Linked DNA regions of Canis lupus familiaris. The protein of the gene in region 1 purifies or fractionates together with the protein of each later gene. This does not show direct contact. Links are inferred from orthologs where the notes say so. Each region holds a gene or a part of one and is shown on either strand. Other genes may lie near its edges.

Evidence for each region. Proteins that work in one complex are often made in the same cells at the same time.
Region 2: the proteins of OSBPL8 (region 1) and GLG1 purify together in Homo sapiens (co-immunoprecipitation; 3 studies listed by BioGRID and IntAct, with this or other methods). This does not show direct contact. The link is inferred for Canis lupus familiaris from reciprocal best matches to the Homo sapiens genes OSBPL8 and GLG1.

The regions. Positions count from the first base shown.
Region 1 is NC_049236.1:19,605,588-19,609,848, reverse strand, and holds the start of OSBPL8 (oxysterol-binding protein-related protein 8), read left to right. Parts: upstream 1-1,447; 5' UTR 1,448-1,553; intron 1,554-4,261. UniProt on the Homo sapiens protein: Lipid transporter involved in lipid countertransport between the endoplasmic reticulum and the plasma membrane: specifically exchanges phosphatidylserine with phosphatidylinositol 4-phosphate (PI4P), delivering phosphatidylserine to the plasma membrane in exchange for PI4P, which is degraded by the SAC1/SACM1L phosphatase in the endoplasmic reticulum.
Region 2 is NC_049226.1:76,731,192-76,734,837, forward strand, and holds part of GLG1 (Golgi apparatus protein 1), read left to right. Parts: intron 1-233; coding exon 234-371; intron 372-2,588; coding exon 2,589-2,712; intron 2,713-3,583; coding exon 3,584-3,646. UniProt on the Homo sapiens protein: Binds fibroblast growth factor and E-selectin (cell-adhesion lectin on endothelial cells mediating the binding of neutrophils).

The DNA.
Region 1 (4,261 bases):
CCGAGTCTCTAGGCCTCTGAGTCTCTGGGCATTCGGCCTCCGGGTCCCCGCCCCGTCTCCGGGTCTCTGGGCCTCCATGCTTGAGGGTCTCTAAGCCTCTGGGTCTCCTGGCCTCCGGGTCTCTAGGCCTCTGGGTCTCCCGGCCTTTGGGTCTCTAGGCCTCTAGGCCTCTAGGTCTCCCGGCCTTTGGGTCTCTAGGCCTGCCTCTGGGTCTCCGGGTCTCTGTGCGTCCAAGTCTCCAGGCCTCTGTGCCTCTGGGTCTGTAGGCCTCTGGGTCTCCTGGCCTCTGGGTCTCTAGGCCTCTGGGTCTCTGTCTCTGTGCCTCCGGGTCTGTAGGCCTCTGGGTCTCTAGGCCTCTGGGTTTCCTGGCCTCCGTGCCTTCCAGCCCCTGGGTCTCCGGGCCTCCAGGCCGGGTCTCTGTGCCTCCAGGTCTCTAGGCCTCTGGGTCTCCTGGCCTCCAGGTCTTTGGGCCTCCATGCCTGCGGGTCTCTAAGCCTCGGGGTCTCCCGGCCTCCGGGTCTCTGGGCCTCTGGGTCTCCCGGTCTCTAGGCCTCTGGGTCTCCTGGCCTCCGGGTCTATGGGCCTCCATGCCTGCGGGTCTCTAAGCCTCGGGGTCTCCCGGCCTCCGGGTCTCTGGGCCTCTGGGTCTCCCGGTCTCTAGGCCTCTGGGTCTCCTGGCCTCCGGGTCTATGGGCCTCCATGCCTGCAGGTCTCTAAGCCTCGGGGTCTCCGGGCCTCTGTGCCTCCGGGTCTGTAGGTCTCTGGGTCTCTGGGTCTCCCGGCCTCGGGGTCTCTAAGCCTCTGGGTCTCCTGGCCTCTGTGCCTCCGGGTCTCTGGGCCTCCATGCCTGCGGGTCTCTAAGCCCCTGGGTCTCTAGGCCTCTGGGGCCTCCGGGCCTCCGGGCCTTCCGGCCTCACGGCGCGGTCGTGGGATCCCGAGCCCTGCCCAGGCGCCGCGCGGTGCAGTCTCCTCGGATTAGGCGGGGCCCTGTGAGGCGGGTCCAGGAGGCCTCCCCACGCAGGTCGCAGGCAATCCCGCGGCGCAGACAGCTGCTCCCGCGCCGCCGCCGCCCGGCCCGGCCCGGCCCGCAGGGGGGCGCCGCCGCCGCCGCCGCCTCCTCCGCGCGCGGGCACGTGACGGGAAGGTGGGGCTGGGCTGGAGCCCGCGAGCGGGGGCGTGGCCTGCGGGGGCGTGGCCTGCGGGGGGCGGGCGCTCGGACGGGAAGGCTCGCGGCGGCCCCAGGCGCCCGGAGCGGCGGCGACGCGGCGGATGACAGCATTAGGGCGCGACGCGCTCGGGGCCGGGCGGCGGCGGGAGCGGTCGTGCGAGCGCCTGCAGCGGTAGTTGTGTCCGCGGCTGTGGCCGCAGCCGGGGTCGGCGGGATCGGCGGACGGGGGCAGCGCGGGCTCGGGCTTCCCGGCCCCTCGCGGCAGAGCCGGCAGCGCCGCGCCCCAGCCGCCGCCCGCCACAGCCGCCGGAGGGAGTTGGGGTCCGCCGGGCGCGGGCAGGGCCCCGGCACCCCGCCTCCGCGCCTCCCCGGGGGCTCCGCTCCGGTGAGTGTGTGTGTCGTCCGCCCCGCGCCCGGCGGACGGGGGCTCCCGGGGCTCCCGGGGCTCCCGGGGCTCCCGGGGCTCTCGGGGACGCCGGGCTGTCGCGCAGCCGCCCTTGCGGGGCCGCGGGGCTCGGGGCCGGGCGGAGAGCCGGGCCCTGGGCGCCGCGGCAGGCGGGACGCGGCGGGAGGGCGCTGGCCTCCTCTCCCCTCCGCTCCCCTCCGCTCCCCTCTCCTCCCCTCTCCTCCCGCTGCTTCCCTCCCCTCCCCTCCCCTCCTCTCCCCACGTCTCCCGTCCCTTCCCCTCCTCTCCCCTCCTCTTCTCTCTTCTCCCCTCCGCTCCTCCCCTCCTCTCCGCTCCCCTCCTCTTTTCTCCCCTCCGCTCCCCTCTCCTCCCTCCCCTCCTCTATGCTCCTCTCCGTTCCCCTCTTCTCCGCTCCCCTCCTCTTCTCCCCTCCACTCCCCTCCCCTTCTCTTCTCCCCTCCCGTCTCCTCCCCTCCCCTCCCTCCTCTCCTTTCCTTGTCGGAAATGACAGAGGATCTGCTCTCCTCCTTAAACAGATGGGGAGAGTTACCCACCTGATGATGGTGTCGAGCATATTTGCATTGGAATTAATGAAGTTTTTTGCCTTTCTAGTGCTGCAGGTCCCGAGTGACTTCTCCTTACGAGAATACCCTTCGTAGGGTAGGACTGTTCGTTTTTTTTTTTTTTTTTTTTTTTTTTTTTTGAACTTTCCCTGAAACGTAGCCTCCAATTAGTGCCAGCCTTAGGTCTTTGCAGATAATCTTTTAAAAGTTGTTATCAAAAAAAAAAAAAAAAAAAAGTTGTTGTCATCGTCTTAGCCTCAAATTAGTGCCAACTTTAGGTCTTTGCAGATAATCGTTTAAAAGTTGTTGTTATAAAAAAATAAGTTGTCATCATTTTAACTTAGCCTCAAATTAGTGCCAACTTTATTTAGGTCTTTGCAGATAATCGTTTAAAAGTTGTTGTCATCGTTGTAACTTAGCCTCCAGTTAGTACCAGCTTTAGATCTTTGCAGATAATCGTTTAAAAGTTGTTGTTTGTTGGTTTTTTTGTTTTTGTTTTTTGTTTGTTTTGGGGTTTTTTTGCCTCCTTTAGAACTCCAAGGAAAGCAAGGGTGGTAAAGGGACTCGGGTGAATTGCCCGTTAGATCTTCCTCATTCCATCAGGTGTCCTTTGAAGTTGTCCTGCGGCGGGACTGTGGTTCAGTTTTTAATGCTTTGCTGGAGCTAGAACCCGTCTTGCGGTGAAAACGAGATCATGCTAGTTTTATAAAATCAGGTTGGGGGGAAAGGAGAATAAGGATATGCAGTTTCTCCTTTATAGGAATACAGCTGGTTTCAAGTCCTTCTTGCCCTCCATCTCCCCCGCCTCCCCCTTTTTTTATAGCAACGGTGTGTGGAACGACTACAGTGTACCTGCTCAAAGTACCGGGAGAGGGAATAGATGAAACACAAGAACTACCTTTTAGGTCTTTAATTATGGAGATTAGGTTGTTGCGGTCGAATTCCAAATTCCACGCGAGCCGTTTGAGCCACAGCGCGTTGTACACAGCTGCTTAGAGATGGTTGTTTAATTAAAAATGGTCATGGTTTATTTCTCTCTTGTTGCATATTAATATAGTATCCGATCTGGGAAGCGCGCTGTTGTCCCTTTTCAGTTAGAGTATCCTTACATGTTAGAGGCAAATATATTTCTTACAGCAGCACATGTATGGCACTGGGGAATTTGGCAAGATCTCGTTTCTTTGTTCATTTTTAAATTGAAAGCCCGTATACTGGTGGGGATAAATACACAATTCTGTGTGATGAAGTTATGTTTTAGTTTTGATTTAAGAAAAAAAAAAGATACGATGACGATTTCACCAAATCTGCATTACAAAAGGATCAGTCTTGTTAAAAGACAAATTACAGAATTTCTTTAGCCACTGCTCTAAGTACATTTAAGCGTGTTTTGGTTTATAAATAATCCTTCAAGAGCAGATTACTTGGAGCATGAGTGACAAAATAAGGGATTGATACTTAGATGTAGTTTTCTGATTTTGTGGAAAATTCTTTCCCTAATAGCAATACCTGAAGTATTATATTTGGATATAATATATAAAGATGAACACATTTATGGCAATGATCTTGGAGCAGCAGGGGATTCAAAAGTAGAAGGCTTATTCTTATGAATATGATGTACGTGTAATCCATAAATGCAACTTGAAGTCTCTGAATATGCGTTAATGGATGTGGCTGGACAGGTTGTGGCTTAACTGGACCAATTGTGTCTAAAGTATTTTCTCGTGGATGAGACTCAGGAAGGGATATTTGGACTAGGGTGTAGATGTAGATTTCACATTAGTGTGTGAAATTGAAAGATTTTTAGATTTTTTTCTTTCTTTTTAAGATTTTATTTATTTGACAGAGTATTAGCAAGGGGAGCAGCAGGCAGAAGGAAAAGGAGAAACAGACTCCCTGCCAAGCAGAGAGCCTAATGCCTCAATGTGGGGCTCAGTCCCAGGACCTTGGGATCATGACCTGAGCCCAAGGCAGATGCTCAACCAACTGAGCCACCTAGGTGCCCTAGATCTGTCTGTCCTTCTACTTTGGTTTCTCACTTCCTCATATTTCTTTGAAGGCATGAAGTTAAAGGTCTCACATGGGAGACAGGATAGAAGGAATTTTTCCTCCCTGAAAAATGTTATC
Region 2 (3,646 bases), on another chromosome or scaffold:
AGCCTGCTCAACTCATCCATTATTTTTATACAGTCTGGTTCACTGTTAGCCATCAAGCTGTGAATCTATAAATGTAATTCTCCTTGCTGAGCAAATTCTGATTCCTGTTGCTTAGGAATTAGGAATGGAATGAAAGAGGGGGAGTGCATTCAGGACTGAAGGCTACAGTCAGAGCACATGGATTATCAAGCTCTGGTACACCCCCTAACATGACCATGATTCTTGTGCCCTAGATTATTGAATGTCTGAAAGAAAACAAGAAGCAGCTAAGTACCCGTTGCCACCAGAAAGTTTTTAAGCTGCAGGAGACAGAGATGATGGACCCAGAACTAGACTATACGCTCATGAGAGTCTGCAAGCAGATGATAAAGGTAAGGGATCCAAAACCAGGGGGTAAGCACAGGGTAATTAAAAATAACATCAGGAATCCCTGGGTGGCGCAGTGGTTTGGCGCCTGCCTTTGGCCCAGGGCGCGATCCTGGAGACCCGGGATCGAATCCCACATCGGGCTCCCGGTGCATGGAGCCTGCTTCTCCCTCTGCCTATGTCTCTGCCTCTCTCTCTCTCTCTGTGACTATCATAAATAAAAATTAAAATTAAAAAAAAATAAAAAAATAAAAATAACATCAGCTTCTTTAAACTTCAGAGCAAATTTGTGTAATCTTTCCATTCAACCTTTTTTATACAGATGACACAGTGGTTCTCCTAGTGTGGTCCCTAGACCAGCCACATCAGCATCACCTGGGTACTCAAATGCTTGGGCCCACCTTGTATCTACTGATTCAGAAACTCTAGGAGCGGGGCTGTGAGGTTTAACAAGCCTTTCAGGTGATTTTGATGCAGGCTCAAATTTGAAAACCACTGAGCTAAGCTAACTGACCTCCCTTTTACCTAAGGCCCAAGTGAATAGATAATCAGTGAATATATGATTAGTCTTTTAGGGTGGTTAGTGGTAGGTATACTGAGAAAGCCACCACCAAATGTCCTGATCATCCACCTACCACAATCAAAAGGCTTTTCTGTTCTACGAGTTCTTTTGTTTCATACACTTCTCCAGTAAACATTCTCTGCAGCAGGGCTGACTTGAGAACCTAGATGCCAGTTCCTGGATCTATCCACATAAATAAAGAGAGTCAATCTAAGATTCTGATGCCTTGTTTAAAATAAAATGCTTTATTAAAATCAACCTAAAAATAAAATAATACTTTAAAATAAAATGGTACTTCTTGGGCACCCCATGTGGCTCAGCTATTTAGCGCCACCTTCAGTCCAGGGCCTGATCCTGGAGACCCGGGATCGAGTCCCATGTCAGGCTTCCTTTTTTTTTTTTTTTTTTTTTTTTAATTTTTTTTTTTTTATTATTTATTTATTATGATAGTCACAGAGAGAGAGAGAGGCAGAGACACAGGCAGAGGGAGAAGCAGGCTCCATGCACTGGGAGCCCGATGTGGGACTTGATCCTGGGTCTCCAGAATCGCGCCCTGGGCCAAAGGCAGGCGCCAAACCGCTGCGCCACCCAGGGATCCCCCCATGTCAGGCTTCCTACATGGAGCCTGTTTCTCCCTCTGCCTGTGTCTCTGCCCCCCTCCCCATCTCTCATGAATAAATAAATAAAATCTTTTTAAAAAGTGGTACTTCAGGGGATCCCTGGGTGGCTCAGCGATTTAGCGCCTGCCTTTGGCCCAGGGCGCGATCCTGGAGACCCTGGATTGAGTCCCACATCAGGCTCCCTATATGGAGCCTGCTTCTTCCTCTGCCTGTCTCTGCCTCTCTCTCTCTCTCTCTCTCTCTGTGTGTGTGTGTGACTATCATGAATAAATAAATAAAATCTTTAAAAAAAAAAAAAAGATTTGAGTCCCATGTAAAAGCAGAAATATCAGACTCTGATTTCAGGGCATTGTGTAAGATTTTGATGACTTTTATAAAAATCAGTCAGCAAGCCACGTCAGCAACCTGTATTAAGATATCAGTAGACTTTAATTAGCAGATAGACTGTTGATTAGCACATAGAGATGGAATTTATTATTAGTCCAGAATGGATCTCTCTTACTTGAAGGATATTAACAAGTGTTCAGGGGCTAGCCACACAGTTTAGTAAGATTATAGCCCCTATAGTTAAAAGATGAACTAGACCAGTCCTTTCCCCACATTACTGTTGACATTGACTCGTGGGTGATTTTTAAGTTTCCCATTGGGATTGGGTAGATAGGACTTGTGGGTGACCTGGCCCACCTGGTACAGTGTTATGTTCATACTTAAACAGTATATAAGCTCAGGAGATGACATGTAATATAACAGCCATGTATGTACAGATTCAGTCCTGTGCAAAATAGGAAACAGTGAGGGTAGCAGAACCATGAGAGATATAGTAGAGAATAGATGGATGAAGAAAAGGGAAGTTGAGGCTGGGTGCGTATACAGACTTAGCTGTTTCTCTTGTACCAAGTGATATCTTCAAGCCTGTTCTGTCATTAGAACACCAGTAGGTGAAAGAATGATATGGATGATGTTAATTGCTGTATTTAAATAACTACTTCAAATAAATAAACAAACAAACAAATACTTATGTAAAACTTTATTTCTTGCAGAGGTTCTGTCCAGAAGCAGATTCCAAAACCATGTTGCAGTGCTTGAAGCAAAATAAAAACAGTGAATTGATGGATCCCAAATGCAAACAGATGATAACCAAGCGCCAGATCACCCAGAACACAGGTAACGTCGTGGCCTGGCTTTCCTGGTTCCAACTGAGTATGGCTCCAGTGGAACTGAGTTGATATATACCTCCCTCATTAAACTACAGGAGTTTTGTTGTATGTGGATTTTTAAGGGTAGAATAAGCAAATTGACTTCCTTCTTCAAAGAGTATCTGGGAGATCAGAATGAAAATCATAGGAAGGAGGAGACAGGAGTAATAGCTGGAATTCTTTGAAAAGTCTAGAGATTTAACAAAACTTCGTGCATGGGGTGGGAGAATGTATGGGTCATGTCTTTTAGAACAGAGAAGTTTCTGCTCTGAGTTCCAAGACTTTGTAACATAGTGGGTATTCTCACTCAGTGTTTTCCAAAACATCTGTTATGGGGAAGGTTGGGGATGACTGCTTGATTTTTGTGAGAACTACTACTGGTACCAGCAGACCCTGCAGAGCTGCTGCAAAGGAGAATTTCTGGGGTCTTCGTCTCCACATCTACTCTTTCATTAAGTTCTATTGCTGGTTAAAAGCAGCATAGTTAGGGCAGCCAGGGTGGCTCAGTGGTTTAGTGCCACCTTCAGCCCAGGGCGTGATCCTGGAGACCCAAGATCGAGTCCCACATCGGGCTCCCTACATGGAACCTGTTTCTCCCTTTGCCTGTGTCTCTGCCTCTGTCTCTCTCTCTGTCTCTCTCTCTCTCTGTCTCTCTCATAAATAAATAAAATCTTTAAAAAAAAAAAAAAACAGCATAGTGAGAGCTCAGCCAGTGTTGAGCAAATAAATCAGTGGTTTGTTGTCGTTAACATAAAGTGCCCCCTTTTGAAAGGTAAATCTCTAATATTTGTGAATCAAGGTGGAATATTTTATCATGCACTTCTGACTTTCCACTCTAGATTACCGCTTAAACCCTGTGTTAAGGAAAGCCTGTAAAGCTGACATTCCTAAATTCTGCCATG